Linked DNA regions of Alligator mississippiensis. The protein of the gene in region 1 interacts with the protein of each later gene in a pairwise test. Links are inferred from orthologs where the notes say so. Each region holds a gene or a part of one and is shown in the gene's direction. Other genes may lie near its edges.

Region 1 (7,819 bases):
ACCCCCGCGCGGGGCCATTCACCCGCCAAGAGCTTGAAGAGCAGGGGAGGGGGCGACTTTCAGGTCGTCGCATTTAGCCAGGGAGGAGCGCAGGGGAGGGCAGGCCGCAGCGGTGCGGGGGACCAGGACACCCGGGTTTTTTCCAGCCTGGGAGAGGAGCGGGGTTAGAGCAGGAGAGAAGGGGCTGTGAGCCAGGACGCCCAGGTTTCCTGAGAAGGGCTGGAACATGGCGGGGGAGGCTGGGCGCCTGGGTTCCCCCTGCTTCAGTTGCCCGGACGCCGGGCTTCTCCGCTTGACTGCACGCACCTGCTCTCAGGTGAGCCCCTCCCTCGGGGCCTTGGCAGCCAGGTGTGCGCCCCGCCCAGGTGCAGGGGGGCGGTACCTGTCGGTCTCAGGTGTAGGGGGCGGGGCCGCGGGTCACGTGAGCAGGAGGAAGGGCGGGGCCGGACCGAAGGAGCTCGGGGAGGACGACCGACGAACGCGGCGGTGAGTGAATGTGGGGAGGGGGTACGCGTGGGGGCGGGGCGTAGTTGTCACCCCCTATCCGCCAGGCAACCCTTGCCCCGGGGGTGGCTTGGACTCCAGATCCGGGGGCTTTTGGGAAAGGACTGCGTCCTTCAGCCCGTGGTACAGCAGGGGTTAACCCCTCCCCCGTCGGGAACCTAGGAGATCGGGTAGCCTGGAGCCCACTCATTCCGGGAACAGGTGCCTCTTCCCCTCTTCTCCGTGTAGGGAGTAGAAAGACCCCCCACTCCCTGGGACACCCATGGCTGGGCGGGACAGCACGCTAGGGGTTACCTCCCGCGTGGGGCCGCCTCTGCGGTCTTAAAAATTGACCATCAAGATGGGGGGACTGGGCATATCCCAGAATGTCCTGGGCCGAGGGAGTCTTTGGGCGTGCTGCTGCTGCGGCCTCTCTCTGTGCCTCAGTTTCCCCTCTCTCTGCAGCACAGGGAGTAGTGGGGTCTCTGCTCCATGGGTACAGCACCCTGTGCTGCATCCTCCCCCACTGCTATCACTGCTCCTGAGCCCGACCCCTGTCCCTTCCCCAGGTTGGGGACCCCGTGGTCTTCCCCAGAAGCAGCTGCATCTCACTGAAGGCTCGGCTACATATACCACCCTGAGAAGCTGATTAATTGGGGGGGGTCACTATATCCCCCCCCAGTCGGGGGTGATGGCAGAACTGCCCCCGCTGGCCCTGCTGCTAGCAGCAATGCTACAGACCATAGTCCACCCAGCCCTGGGCCAAGGTAAGTGAATGAGCCAAGGGGGATGGGAGCCAGGACACCTGGGTTCTCTTCCCGGCACAGGGAGGGGAGGGGATGAGGGCCAGGGTCTGGAGGGGTCCCTGCAAGTTAGGATGAGATGGCTTCATGCTGTGCAGCTTCCCTGTTCCACACCAGAGCCAGCAGCAGCTTGGGGCCACCCCAGAGGTGCTGGGTTAGGGGGCTGCTCATGGGAGAGGGGGGGAAGAAAACGTACAGTGCCTTGCACCTGGGGCCAGAGAAATGGGCCTGGATGGAGGAGGGACCCCCCACCCCTTTCTCTGTGCTATGTGGCTGCCACTGCCCCACCCCAGAGGTGGCTGCATGTCAGTAGCAGGGCCGGGTAGGGCAATTGGGTGAGGCACAAAGGGGCTCTGCCCAAGCAGGTGGACCCCCTCCATGGACCCCTGTGTAAATACCCAACCCCCACTTCCCAGGCATGGCGGGGTATCAGGATACTCGAGTTCCCTGTGTTCCAGTTGTGAGGGGTGGGGGGGGTCTGCTGGGTTGGAGCAGGGGGACATGAGAGCCAGGCTGCCTGGGTTCTCCACTCTACCACTTTGGGGATATGGTTTGATTACTGGGGGCAGGGGGTGGCATGGTGCAGGAGGCCAGACACCTGGGCTCTCCAGGGAGGTGGGTCCCTCAAGAACTGCAGGATGGTATCAGGCCTGACCAGCCTATCCATTGCTCAAGACCTGGAAGTTTTGGCCATACGTCAGGTGGGTGGGGCAGAGGTGGGGGGGGGGGGGCAGGATGTCTGGGTTCTATGGGGGTGGCAGGGTTGGGGGCACCTGTCCCTTGGGGTGGGGCAGGGTGTGCGCTGCTTGCCTCCAGCTGAGGTGGGGGGGCCTCCTCCACTTCCTGTTCCCCTGGGCGGCTGCCCCACTCCAGAGCTGGTTGCATCTTGAGGGGGTGGATCCAGGCACAGCACTACCTTGCCTGGGGCCGGGGGTGGGGGGTGGTGTTACTCCAGCACATGCCTCTTCATGGCTGTTTATTCCCCCCCCACCCCGGGATTAACCCCTTCCTTCCTTTTGCCTCCCTCCAACCCAGAGGCCAACACGACCAGCAGTAACCGCACAGACGGTCCAGCTGCTTCCTCAGGGCTCACGGTGGGTGAAAAGGGGTATGGGGGGGGAATTAGGGTAGGAGGGGACCGGGCTGGGGACTGGGTGCAGGGAGTGGGGGTGGGCTCTGGGTCCTACCTTAGATGAAACTGGGGGGGTCCAGTACCCCCCACTGATTTTTTCCCCCCCCCCCACTCTGTCCGGGCACAGGCAGGGGAGGTGGCAGCCATCAGTGTGTGCAGCATCTTCGGGGGGCTGCTGCTCCTGGGGCTCCTGGTCTTCGGGGTGCTGAAGCTGCGGGAGAAACGGCAGACAGAGGGCACCTACCGACCTAGCAGTGAGGAGCAGGCGGGTGCCCGCGTCGGGCCCAGCCCCCACCTCAAACTGCCCCCTGAGGAGCGACTCATCTGAGATCCTCCCAGACTTCTGCCCCCTCTTGGACTCCTGCCCCCCATCTACGGGGAACCATGCTGGGGCAGGGGACAGTTGCAGCTGCCTTGCTACCCTGCGGTGCTTCCTGGTGGCTGAAGCAATAGGGGGGGGGGGCCCAGACAGCACCCCCTCTGGACTGGTCTTTATTCCTGCATCTGTCTGTCTGTCCTGCAGAAGGGGCTGGTGCTGGATCTGCCCCCATGAGTGTTCCCTGGTGGCTGAGCCCAAGAAGGGGGGTCCCTGACAGCCCCTCACCCCACACTGGTCTCTCCAGTGTCCCTTTGTCTGTCCAGGCTCGGGGTGGGGGTTGGACTTGTGCTCCCTGGTGGCCAAAGCAATAGGTGGGGTCCTGCCCCTTGCCCACTGGACTGGTCTCTACCCCTGCTCCCCTGGGCACAGCCCCCTGTGTCTGTCTTGTGGGGGTAGGGGGTCGGGCTGATGCTGCTCTAATCTGTCCCCCCACTCCCCTCCCCTTCAATGGCTTTGAATGGATGTTTAATAAAATCCTGGGTTTGGTACTGAATTGTCACAGGAGGACTGGGGTGGGGGGATGCTGCTCTTCCAGCCTCAGCTGGCCCCACCTCCATACCCTGTCATGCCTGTTTGCCTATGTGGGAAACGGTGCTTATGTCCCCTTCCAGGCCCGCTCTGAAGGTGCAGGGATGACCCCTCCCCCCCACCCAAGGCTGGTGTGAGGGGGATAATAGCTTCCTGCTGCTGTGTATTGGGGTGGGAGACAAGGCTCAGCTACCCCTGCTTGGGGCAGCAGATCAAAGTGAGCAGGGAGCTTCCTGCCTGCCAGGAGCTGGAGCAGGGGTCCTACCCCCATCCTTTTCTGCTGTCCCAGAGCTGAGAGCCAAGGAGCCCTGTCCCCTATGGCCTGCCCACTTGGGGCCTGCTTGCCAGCAGGGAAGTGAAGAACAGGTGCAGAACCCCCTCCACCCCCAGCTACTGGCCAGTGTCACTGGGGGCTGGGGAAGGGGGGGCACCCTGCTGACCTGGCTTGAGGTGCAGCACCTAGCACGGTCAGGTTCTTCTACCCCTGGAGGCCCCTCAACAGTGGGGCAGCCCCAAAGGTTCCAGCCCAACCCCCAGCACTGCCCCCTGCTTTGTACCTCCTCCCATCAGGGCACCTCCACCATCCCAGGATGCACTGGGACCTATGATGGGGGGTGGGTTTGGTGTTAGGGGGCCAAGATCCTACAGCCATGGGGGGGGGCAGTGCTCAAGGCTGGGGAGCCCTGGTGATTTCCCCACCCCAGGCCCCTAGCCATGCACCTGCCACTGCTGCTCTCCCTTAAGGCCCAGGCAGCTGAGCTCAGTACCCAGTTACCTTATCCAAGGATAGTGATCTCTGCCTGCCCCTAAACCTGGGCAAATGGTGCCTTCCCCTCAACCCAGTGGAATTCAGCTCCAGGTGGTAATGGAAACCGCCGGGACAGGGGCCAACTCTCTTCCCTGCCCTCGGCCCACCCCAGAGGTGGCTGCATCTCAGCACTGAGGTTCCCCCCAGGGCTGGGACCTCACAACCCCTCCCCGTCCCCCTTGTGTCTAAACCCCAGCAGCAGTCTAACCTCCAACACACACCAGTGCACACCCATCCCGGACTCCTGGATTCCCTCCGGGGATCGGGGAGGGGAGTAGAGCGCGGAGCCTGGGAGGGAGAGAGCCGGAGTCACGGAGGAGTCCTCGGCGGCGCCCCGTGCATCAGTTTCCCCCCACTTTGGCGGAGCAGCGAGCAGAGCTCCGGACAGGGCGGTGGGCAGAAGCTTAGGAGCTCGCTCGCCCACCCTTCCCCTCCCCGCCGCCTCCCGTCCTGGGGTGGGAATAGGGGTCCCCTCGCTCCCACAAGCGGATGCGGCACTTCAGCCTGGTCCGGGCCCGGGTCCGAGTCGAACGTTGGCGCTGCCGCTTCCATCAGGGGGTGGGGCGGAGGGGGCGGGGCCTGGGGAGGGCGGGACTGGACTCTTATTCTGACAGCGCCGCGCGCTCTGCTTAGTCACGGTGACTCCCCCCGCCCCCCCGCTGCAGCCGGACCCGGCAGCGCAGCCATGGCCGGGTGAGTGACCCCCGTCCCCCTCCCTGGCTGGGGGGCCGGACCCCGTGGGGGGAGCGGGACTCTGCGGGAGGAGGGCGGATCCCCCCCTCCCCGAGCCAGACAATGGGGCAGTGAGTGGGGGTCGCCCCTCGGGTGCAACACGTTATCGCGCCCTGCTCGCCGGAGTGGGGGTCCGGCCCGGCCCCGCCCCCGCCCGGACGCTTGGGTTCCGTCCGCCGTGGTGGGAGGAGAGCAGGGCCTGAGGCGGGGAGCTGGGAGCCCGGATGCCTGGGTTCTCCGCTGGTTTGGGGAGGGGAGTGCGGGGACACTGGGCCCCATGTTTTCGCCCTCTTGCGAGCGTGCCTCAGTTTCCCTACGCCAGCCCGTACCGGCCCAGGGCTCTGGGGAGGAGACGGGGATAGGCGCCACCCTCGGCAGGGCGGCTGTGTCACGGGCCCGGTACTGCTCCTGCCTGCTAGCGAGTCCCCTTGGTTCCAGCATGGTGGAACGGGGACCAGGGCGCCTAGCCCAAGCCTGGAGGCAGGGGGGGAGGGGGTTTGGGGAGCCAAGGCCCTGGGTGCAGCCCCTGACACCGGGGGGGGGGAAACAGTCCCAGTGAAGGGCTTGTGGTGCTCAGCCCAGGGGGAACCACTGGCATGGGGAGTCTGCCCAGTGCCTGGGGCTATGGGACAGCCCTGTCTTTTGAAGGTGGTTGGGGGGCTGCTACCATAATGCACCTAACTGCTGGGCCTGCACTCCCAGTCACCCAGGATGCAGTGTCCCCACAGGTCAAAGCTGTGAGGCCAGCCTGGTGATTAAGGGGTGCCAGACAGGTCCTGTCCTGGTTTCAGGGAGGGGGAGCAGGGTTGTGGTTCCCCTGGTTCTAGGTAGGGGGCAGGTTTAGGGTCCTCCCAGAAACCAACCTGACAGGGTGATCTAGGACCCAGAGTGAGGGGAACATAGGTGTCCAAGCTCCCAGCAACCCCCCTGGGTCCTACTGCTGTTCCTGAACTAGGAATGAGCCCATGCATCCAGGCCCCCACGTCTACTGGCTACTGGGCCCTACCCCCCTCCCAGACATCTGGGTCCCCTATTCCCACTTTGGGCAGTGTGTTGTAGCCCTCACACTCCAGGACCTGGGGTGGGGGAACAGTGGCAGATTTGGGCTTCCCCTGGTTTCAGTGGGAGAGCAGTTTTGAGGTCCCCCTTCTAACCCCCTGCCTCTTCCCCTGCAGGTTTGACGGCACCATCCAGCACCCAAGCTCCACAGTACTGTCCTTAGCTGTGTAGCCAACCTCCGCTGGAGCTGCCAAGATGTATGCACCTGAGTGCCAGGCAGAGGTGACACCATCACCGGCAGGGCCACGCTCCTTTAGCTACACACTGGATGAGCACCCATGCCAAGCACTGGCCATCATGAATGAGCTACGACTGAGCCAGCAGCTCTGCGATGTGACACTGCGTGTGCGTTACCGCGATGCGCCGCCTGCTGATTTCCAGGCCCACAAAGTGGTGCTGGCCTCATCCAGCCCTGTCTTCCGTGCCATGTTCACAGCAGGGCTGCGGGAACAGGGCATGGAGGTGGTGCCCATTGAGGGCATCCACCCACGGGTCATGGAGCGTCTCATTGAGTTCGCCTACACAGCCTCCATTGCTGTGGGTGAGCGCTGTGTGCTGCATGTCATGAATGGTGCCGTCATGTACCAGATTGACAGCGTGGTCCGTGCCTGTGCTGACTTCCTGGCCCAACAGCTAGACCCCAGCAATGCCATTGGCATCGCCAACTTTGCCGAGCAGATTGACTGCAGCGAGCTGCATCAGCGGGCGCGGGAGTACATCTACAGGCACTTCGCGGAGGTCAGGGGGGGCTGAAGAGCAGGGCAAGAGGGTTCCAGGGGGCAGGAGGGGGCTGCCGCGAGTACAACTCCATGCACTCTGGGCAGGTGAGGAGGGGTGGGAGGCAGGGAAGGGGCTCCCAGTAAGTACATCTCTTGGGAGGGGAGGGGAGGGTCATGGCGGGGTTGCCGAGAGTCGACAGCCCTAACACAATAGAAACAGACTCCACTCCATGTCTGGGAGGATCCAGGGTGAGGGGCTGGCTCTGGCCAGACTCCCTCCTTGGTTTGGGGTGGAATGCAGCCTGCTCTGGTCAGTGTCGCACCCCCTGGTGGCTGACCCAGGCAGGGCCGAGCAAGGGGCTGCCTCTTGGGTTCCTGGGAGTCGGTAATGGGGGAATGATGGAGGTAATAGCGGGGGGCTAGTGATGTGCCATGACAAGGGGCAACCAGGTTCATATAGAAAGTAAGGCTGGAGTAGCCTGGAGTCAGGATGGGGGAACGTGGGCACAGGTGGGCCACAGCTGGGGGACGGGAGCACTCAGAGTATCTGCAGAGACAGAAGTATCAAGACAGCAGGAGAGAAGATGCCCTGACTTCCCACTGCCCCTATGGGTATCTCAGGTCCTCTCAGTGCCCCCCTTCTCAGGGCAGTGGGGGCTGGACCTGGGCCTCTGTATACCACATACCTCCAGAACTGGGGGCGGGGCATGCACAGGGCTGGTGTCCCCAGTGTCCTCATCATGCCCCCACTGTCAACAGGTGGCAAAGCAGGAGGAGTTCTTCAACCTATCACACTGTCAGCTGGTGACGCTGATCAGCCGGGATGAGCTGAACGTGCGCTGTGAGTCTGAGGTCTTCCATGCCTGCATTGACTGGGTGCGTTACGACTGCGCCAGTCGGCGCCCCTATGTGCAGGCACTGCTGCGTGCTGTACGCTGCCACGCGCTCAGTCCTGGCTTCCTGCAGCTACAGCTTCGCGAGTGCGAGGTGCTGCAGGGTGACACACGCTGCCAAGACTACCTGGCCCAGATCTTCCAGGACCTGACGCTGCACAAGCCCACACAGCGCCTGCCCAGCCGGACGCCCAAGGTGGGCCAGCTCATCTACGCAGTTGGTGGCTATTACCGCCAGTCCCTTGGATTCCTGGAGGCCTACAACCCCCACGATGGTGCCTGG
Region 2 (8,471 bases), on another chromosome or scaffold:
AAGCAGATATTCCATGCTTATTACATTTTCAGAGTGACAAGCGTGCTATAATCAAGAAACTCATTTGTTCCAGTTTAACAGGTCAGCCTATAACAAACAACCCTCTTCAGAAGACAGGCCAAGGACTGATGGGTCATTTCAGAGCTGGCACAAGGGACACCAGAAGAGCAGCATAGCAGAAACTTGCAATGGGCACTGTCCATGGTAGAATGACAGCCCAAGAACCGTCTCCACAGTGTCTTACAGAAGTACTACATTTTCTATCAGCACTTACTTAGGTCAGAGCTGTGAAGTGGCAGCTTTTCTACAGCACTGCAGCTGTGTTTAGGATAATGGTCTGGGACTCTGCCATATTTTGTATATAAAATAATGTTATATCACATAGTTATGATATGCTTGACTTCAGCATCTTAATTTTGGTGCTCCTCTTTGTCTGCTTTATCCTTGCATTTAGCTCCTTTTTCTTTGTTATCAGTTCAAAAGGACAGCACAGACTCACGAGCATTTAAATAGGGAGATTGTTTTAATAGGTATAGATTTAAATTGGCAGAAGTGAAAAGATTCTAGTTCTCATGGTCTGTTTTCATGGCCTATTGACTGGTATCTGGCCAAATGATTTAACTGGTCTATTCTTTCTTGCTAGAATGTCTTTGTCTTATTAGATTCATTCAACATTTCTTTACAGATAGAACAATTGACACTACACATTTACATATAATTCAGAGAATGCCATATATGCAGTAAGGCTGTGCAAAGCTTCAGTCACTGATTCAGTTTGGAGGAGATTTGGTCCAATTCGGTGGCCAAATCTCCGAATCGAATCAGAAGACCCGTTAATCACTCCGAATCGAATCGGAAGCCTCCGAATCGATTCAGAGACATTCAACAATTTGGCCATAGACACAGCTTTATATGTTTTTTCTACAAACCTCAAGGTATCAGGTGGCTTGTGAACACTGAGATGCTAGGGTAGATGGAGCATCCCACAGAAGCACACAGGGGGTCCCCTGTGCACTCAGCAGCAGACCCAGAAGTGGACCCCGCCCCAGCTCAATGACTGGTACCTCCTGGGTCTGGGGGGCACCCGGGGTCCCCCCACGTTCCTGTGGGACGCTCCATGCGCCCCAGCATTGCAGCATTCATGAGCCACACCTGGTACACCTCAGGGTGTGTAGAAAAACATATAAAACTGTGTCTATGGCTGAATCACTGATTCTCTGAATCAGCATCGAATCTTCAGATTTGGATTCGGCCAAATAATTGAATCAGGACAGAAATCCAAATCAGTTAATCGAATTGCTGTTCCCCAAATCGGGCTGAATCTAAACCTGAATTGAATACAGCCTGCTTCGCACACTCCTAACTTACAGGATCAGCATTTTAACACATGCCATGCACTGTGACCATTTATTGGACCCTGCATAAAGATGGACGGGTTCCACTGAAAGCAGCCAGAATCAGTTAAACTATCCCAAAGAATGTCTGATAGTTGATAAGGCCATGTTGAAAGATTCGTACCTTCCACATCCTCCCATTCATCCTCACTTTCATCATCATTGCTGCCATCATTGTTTTCATCCATCTCTTTTTTAACAGTGGATTCTCTCTTCAAACTCTTCCCGTTCCCAGAGGGGCTTGGTAAACCACTATAAAGGTTGCACAAAAAAAAACTTCAAAGTTGTGGGTTATATCATCTTGTTTGTTTAAAATGTGGAGGGAGGACAATGTCTGTACTAATTAGAGGAACACATGTAATATGACAACGTTATCAATAACAACAGCTGCAAAAGCTTAGAATATACTTAAAACCTAAACCACAAATACCAGCATGGACACAATCTTTGCAAGCAATACATGGATGATAAACACAAAATATTTCACTGGCATTTTTAAGTCTGTTTATGTTGCATTATAAAATGCCTCCAATTTAAAAAAAAAACTATAATTTGGGGGGTCTTAAGTCCTTAACAACTTCCTTCTGAAATTAAAATACACATTAAGCTTGGAAAAGCCTCAAACGCTTTCCACCCCCATTCAGTTCCATACACTTGATCCCATGAACATGCACACAAGTAATTTGGCTCATATGTGAAGCTATGATGAACAGAATGGTACCAAACAGCAGAAGTAAATTTCTCCTATATGAGGTTTGTTGAACTGGGTGTTAAGTAAACATGTTTAGCAATGGACATGTAATAGTTGTATTGATGCAGTCAGTTAACTTACCTGCACATTTCCTCCTCTTTAGGATTTCCTTCATTTTTTATAGCTTTGTTATTTTTCCCCTTTCCTCTTGACTTTGATTCTTTTTGGCTTGTAGCTCTAGTTGCTGGACTGTAAACTCTAGTGTCACCATCTTCTTTCTTCTTCTTCTTTCCACTGAGGGCCTTTGAGACACTCCTCTTCAAAATAGGCTTTTCCTCTTCAAAGTCATCTAAATTGGAACAGAGGGAAAGAAGTGTTATGGAGCAAAATCCTGGCTCTCTTGAAATCAACCATAAAACACCTACTGACGTCAATGGGGCCGAGTTTCTATGGAGCAAAAAATGCAGGCTAAGAGCGAACAAACTGCCTTTAAGGATATCCTTAAAACAAATGGGTAGCATTAAATCAAAAAGCACGTGTGAAATAAAATTATAAGGAAAGTTCAGCTCAGAAGACAAAAGATTTATTCCTGGGTCTTTTCCAATGATGACAAAAAAAAAGCAAATATTCTTGCTTCAGTACTGCATATTGAAGCATCTACTGCATAAAAAAAAATCTCTAGGCAAGTGGAATTTTTGCAAGTTTGATTTAAATAACCCCTTTTCTCAAGAGTCTCCTGAAGCAACAGCAAGCTGCTTTCTTAACCTGCTGCGTCTATGTACTACTATGATGAATTGGATAGATCTTACACGTATGAAATCGATCTGGTTTCATGCAACATAGCAGGCTTACCTACCTTTCAGATTATGGCCTAATGTAGTTGAGATAAAGTTAGACAAGTTTTCACATGTAAGATATTTTTCTCAGGTCTTACATGTGAAAGCTTGCTTATTTTCATCCCAACTCCATAGTTGGTCCAATCAAAGATCTCACCCTATGAAATCCTTGCCTCTTGCATTATTTCTGGATCATCATAGTTACAACATCACTCTTACACTACCATAGAGGGAGAGAGCATTCACTTAGATAGCTCTAGAGCAATCTACACCCCGCTGGCATTCAATATCCCCCCTGGTATCCACGGGCAAATCTAGGATTTTGAAAAGAAGGGTGCAGATGGTGTAGAACATCATATCATAGGATCACAGAAAATTAGGGTTGGAAGGGACCTCAGGAGGTTATCTAGTCCAGTGGTTCTCAACCTTTTTTTGTACAAAGACCCATTTGTAAACATTGATGGCCAGTCCCGACCCAGTGCCCCTCACTCCTGACCGACTGCTTTCTGCCGCCAGCTCCCCAGTGTGTGGGGCAGGAGTGATACATGTGGGGCATATGTGTGGGGCGTGGGGCATGGGGCATAGGGCATATGTGTGGGGCATGGGGGGCTCCAAGCAGCCCGCTGCAGGCGGGAACTCTGACAACCTGCAAGAGAAAAGCCACCGTTTCCCACATTTTATTCCTTTAAAGGAGAATCCATTTTGTTGATCCATTTTTAAAGTTTGTTCAAGACCCTCTCTCATATTCTTGCTACCCACTTTTGGGTCACAACCCATATAGGTAGAGAAACACTGAGCTAGTCCAACCTCCTGCTCACAACAGGACCATCCCCAACTAGATCGTCCCAGTCAGGGCTTTGTCTAGACAGGTGATCTGCCGAGGTCCCTTCCAGCCCTAACGTCCATGAAATCTATGAAAAAATCTCCAAGGATAGAAATTGAAACTAAAACTACACCACTATCCTTCTACTTCTTTTCCTTCCATTATAACAAGGCAGGTTGTTCATTCATTTGTTGCTTCCACCGTTTTACAGACAGATATAACCAAAGTATAATACAAGTAACTGTAATTTGAATCAATAATACAATGAGCAAAGGGCTGTAATAATGTAAATCCTTGGATGAAGATCCGATGGGTCAGGTTATCCCACCGGTTGTCTGCAGTACTTTCTTGGATGCTAGCACTCAGTTCCTGGAGCTGTTTGTTTTTTTGATCCATGAGCATCCCCACAACTTTCCCTTCTTCTTTTAGGAGAGACCAGTCTTTCTCTATTTACCAATTTCTTCCAGCTCCTTCCACAGCCAAATGTGCAAGTTAAGGCCACCCACACGAAAGCGCTGTACTACGGCTTCTGGGTCAATCTGTTGTGCAACGATCCCAGCGCTCGCCCCTAGGAGCCCAGGGCAGGGGGTCGGACTTCGTGATCCGTTCAGATCCCTTCAGACCCTAGAAACTAGGAAACGCTTTATATTTGATGCCTGGGATCCAGGACCTCACCCGTCTGTGTGGAAACGTTACGGCACCACGCTCCCTCTTCACGACCGCTCCGGGTAACCTGTGCCGGTGCTTTTCTACCCTCCTTGCGAAAGCTTTTCCTAATATCCTACCTAAACTTCCCTAAATGCAACTCACATTTTTTTTCCCCCTCCGGTCAAAAAAGAAACTTGACGCTTTATTAATATGCTAAGGGGGGGGGGGGGGCACTATACTATTAGAGCAAAAAACAACTATAACTATTGGAGTGCGCGTGAGTTTTCTAGAGCATATATAAAACTTAAAAAAAAACCCAAAATAGTCAAAGGGTATCGTATCGTCAGTGCTGAGGTCATCAAGAGTGAAAGGCATGTCTGTCACTCAGTTATATAACAAGATCCAGCCGTGTCGGGCTCTGGTGCTTTGCTGTCAGTCATTTCCACACCCGAGTTAACGTCTCACCGCCCCGGCACCGAGCCCGGCTTCACGGTCCGCGATCCCGGGGCCTCCAGCCGGGCCGCCGCCGCCGCACTCACCGTCCGACCCGCGCGGGGGCTTAGGCCTCTTGCTGGCGGCCTCCCGCGCCGGGACCCCGCGGCGCTTTCTCCCCATGCCGCAGCGCCGGCTCCCAGCCCCGCCCACCTGACGTCCCTTCCGGCCCCAGCACCCCGCCCCCCTCCCGTGAGACACCCGCCCCCTTGAGGTGAGCGGTGCCCATTTCACAGCTGCGAACACTGAGGGCTCGCGGGGAGACAGGCCACGCCCTCTCCCCTCGCGCGACGCGTGACGTCATCACGCCCCCAGCCCCGCGGGATGTGGAAGGCGGGTTCGTGGGATCTCGCGAGAGTTCGTTTGAAAGATGGCGGACGAGGTGGACCAGGTGAGGCGCTTTCCCCGAGCCGGCTCGTGTCATCCGTGTCTCGGCCGCGCTGGCGAGGCCTGAGCGCTGGGACGCTAGTGCTGGTGGGGCGGGCGCAGGCTGCCAGGCCCTCGGGGGATTATGCCCCGTTTGCTCAAGTTGCCGCTTCTGGTGGACGCTGGCTTGATCGGGGTGTCTGTGACACAACAGCAGTGTCCTCGCCCTGTCTCTGCCTGCGAGCCCCGGGGATTAGCACACGCAACGTCCAGGGGGTTTCATGCTTGTAATAGGAACCGCCTCGTTTTTTTCTCAGCAACAGACAACCAATACCGTAGAGGAGCCGCTGGATCTCATCAGGCTCAGTCTAGATGAGCGAATCTACGTGAAAATGAGGAACGATCGAGAGCTCAGAGGGAGATTACATGTAAGCGAAGATCACAGAATCGTAAATAAGGGTTGGAAGGGAGCTCAGGAGGTCGCATCTAGTCCAACCCCTGCTCAAAGCAGGACCAGCCTCAGCTAGATCACCCCCGCCAAGGCTTTGTCTAGTCAGGTCTTAAAAACCTCCAAGGCTGGAGCTTCCACAACTCTTGGTGATCTGTTCCTGTGCTTTACTACCCTCCTAGTGAGGGACTTTTTCCTAATATCCAACCTAAATCTCCCTTGCTGCAACTTGAAACCGTCGGGCATTTTTACCCATGCATGTGCCACAGCGCCGGGCGCTTTGAAAAGCACGTGATGCTGCAATGCATGCGGTTGGGTAAGTGGTGAAGTGCGCGTCAGAGCGTGGAAAATGGCGGTGGTCCACTTTTGAACTAAAACACATCAAAGGTGTTTTCATTCAAATGCACGCCGCTGCCATTTCCTCCGTGCTGGTGTGCATTTTGCCATTTATACAACTGCAGATGACGCAGTGCGGTGTGCATCAGCTCGTGTGCAGAGCAGACTCAGTTAATTAAGTCGATTAATCTGCTCTGATGCACTGGATCTGTGGTGCGTGGCAGCATGAAAAAGTATGTGTATAAATGCCCGTTGTTTCTTGTTCTGTCATGTGTCACCACTGAGAACAGTCCAGCTCCATCCTCTGCAGTCCCACCCTTCAGGGAATTGAATGCTGCTATTAAGTCCCCTCTCAGTCTTCTCTTCTCTAGACTAAATAAGCCCAGTTCCCTCAGCCTTTCCTTATAAATCATGCTCTCCGGCCCCCTGTCCATTTTGTTGCCCTCCACTGGACTCTCCGATTTGGCCGTATCCTTTCTGTATTGGGGGCCCAAAACTGAACACAGTACTCCACATGTGGCCTTACCAGTGCTGAATACAGGGGAATAATCACTTCCCTTGATGTGCTGGCAGTGCTCCCACTAATGTTAGCATTCTTTTCAACAAGGGTACGCTGTTGGCTCATATTCAGCCTATTGTCTGCTATAACCCACAGGTCCTTTTTTGCAGAGCTGCTGCTTGTCCAGTCAGCCCCTAGCCTGTCCTGGTGCATAGGATTATTCCATTCTAAGTGCAGGGTTTTGCACTTGTCTTTATTGAACTTCATGAGATTTACTTTGGTCCAATCCTCCAATTTGTCAAGGTCTCTCTGAATCCTAGCCCTACCCTCCGGCATATCTACTACTCCCCGCAGCTTGAGTATGCAGATGACACCAGCTCCATCCCATTATCCAGATCTGTGGAAATACTTGGGATCAGAGGTCAGTTGGGCTGCAAGGAACCTCTTGAGGTTGTCTAGTCCAGCCCCTGCTCAGGGTAGGATTGCCCCTGACTAAACCATCCCAGCCAAGTGCCTTTCCGACTTTCTCTCAAAAACTTCCAAGGACAGAGATTCCACAGCTTCTCTAGGTAGCCTGTTCCAATGCTTGACCACCCTCATAATCGGAAGGTTCCTCCTAATCTCCAACCTAAATTTCCCTTGCCGTAGTTTGAAGTCATTGCACCTAGTCTCTTTCCCCTATAGTTACAGAGAAACCCCATCTCCATCATTTCTATAGTCATGACTTGGGTATTTGAAGGCTGTTATCAAATTCCCCTTGGTCTTCTATTCTGCAGGCTGGTGAAGGCTGGTTCAGTAGGTAGTATTAGAGACAGATGATGCCTTCATTTCTGTTGTAATGGTGAACTTGTCTGTAGTGCTGCATGCAGGTTACCATAAACTAAATTATGATCTTAATTTAGGGGTCGGCGTCTTTTGACATGCATGTTGTAAGTGGCATACGCTGCATCTATGAGGCACAGGAGATCAGGGAGGCAAAAGAGAACACGGTGGCAGATAGGGCAGAAAGTAGAGCAGGCAGAAGAAGGGAATTAGAGTGACGGACTGGGAGGGTGCAGGGCTTACCATTTGGGTTGGTCTAATAAAAGATATCAAATTCACCCAAGGAACCTTGTGGGCTTACCATGTGACACTTCAGCCAAAAAGTTGGCTTCCCACTGATTTAAAGTTGTATGGCAATTTTTGCACCTGGCACGCAGCACAATCATATCTTGTGATTAGAAACATCTGAAAGGTGGCATATTTCCCCCCTTTGCAAAAGAACTTACTCCTGCTTTCCATACCAGATGTTCTAACAATGTGATAATTCAGAGCAGTGATTGTCAACCAGGATAGCACAGTTCCTCAGGCTGCCATGAGATTTTTTTCAGGGAGTGCTGTAAACAAGTGATCCAGTAAAACTGCCCTGCATGTAGTGCACATCCTTCCTGCGTTAGGGTTCTCTAATAACTGTAAAGGAGACAGCAGGGTCAGCTTGTGCTGTAGCCCATCCCAGTTAACCCCAACCTCAATCCCCTGACATGCCAAAAATCAGAGGCATGCATGACAGCTCCACTGTCCCACCTGACTCTTCCTGGGAGATATTGTGCAGTGGCAGACCTAGAATGGCTGCAGCACAATCCAATAGGGCTGCGCAAAGTTTTGGGTACTGATTTGATTCAGAGGAGATTTGGCCCAATTCGGTAGCCAAATCTCCGAATCCAAATCAAATCGGGACCAATTAAAAGGTCCAAATCTATTCGAAGCTCTCTGAATCAATTCAGAAAAGATTCAGAGAGGTTCGGTGATTCAGGCAGTCCGCACCCCCTGCAGCAGGTATCTGGACCTGGACTCCATGCTGGTAAGTAGGGGCTGGGGGAGTGGGGGCTGGACAAGATGGGGGGACCCATAGGGGGACCCCTGCCAGGCCTCATCCCCTGCCTGCTCCCCCCAGCCCCA

The links.
Region 2: the proteins of KEAP1 (region 1) and LSM3 interact in binary tests that used the Homo sapiens proteins (3 or more experiments, as listed by UniProt). The two-hybrid records come from large-scale screens. The link is inferred for Alligator mississippiensis from reciprocal best matches to the Homo sapiens genes KEAP1 and LSM3.

The regions. Positions count from the first base shown.
Region 1 is NC_081831.1:22,436,368-22,444,186, reverse strand, and holds the start of KEAP1 (kelch-like ECH-associated protein 1), read left to right. Parts: upstream 1-4,716; 5' UTR 4,717-4,826; intron 4,827-6,040; 5' UTR 6,041-6,119; coding exon 6,120-6,662; intron 6,663-7,402; coding exon 7,403-7,819. Other genes in the region: CRB3 (protein crumbs homolog 3), read left to right, coding at 1,175-1,250, 2,322-2,380, 2,546-2,746. UniProt on the Homo sapiens protein: Substrate-specific adapter of a BCR (BTB-CUL3-RBX1) E3 ubiquitin ligase complex that regulates the response to oxidative stress by targeting NFE2L2/NRF2 for ubiquitination.
Region 2 is NC_081835.1:16,882,125-16,890,595, reverse strand, and holds the start of LSM3 (U6 snRNA-associated Sm-like protein LSm3), read left to right. Parts: upstream 1-5,177; 5' UTR 5,178-5,254; coding exon 5,255-5,275; intron 5,276-5,567; coding exon 5,568-5,678; intron 5,679-8,471. Other genes in the region: XPC (DNA repair protein complementing XP-C cells), read right to left, coding at 1,519-1,646, 2,227-2,434, 4,932-5,007. UniProt on the Homo sapiens protein: Plays a role in pre-mRNA splicing as component of the U4/U6-U5 tri-snRNP complex that is involved in spliceosome assembly, and as component of the precatalytic spliceosome (spliceosome B complex).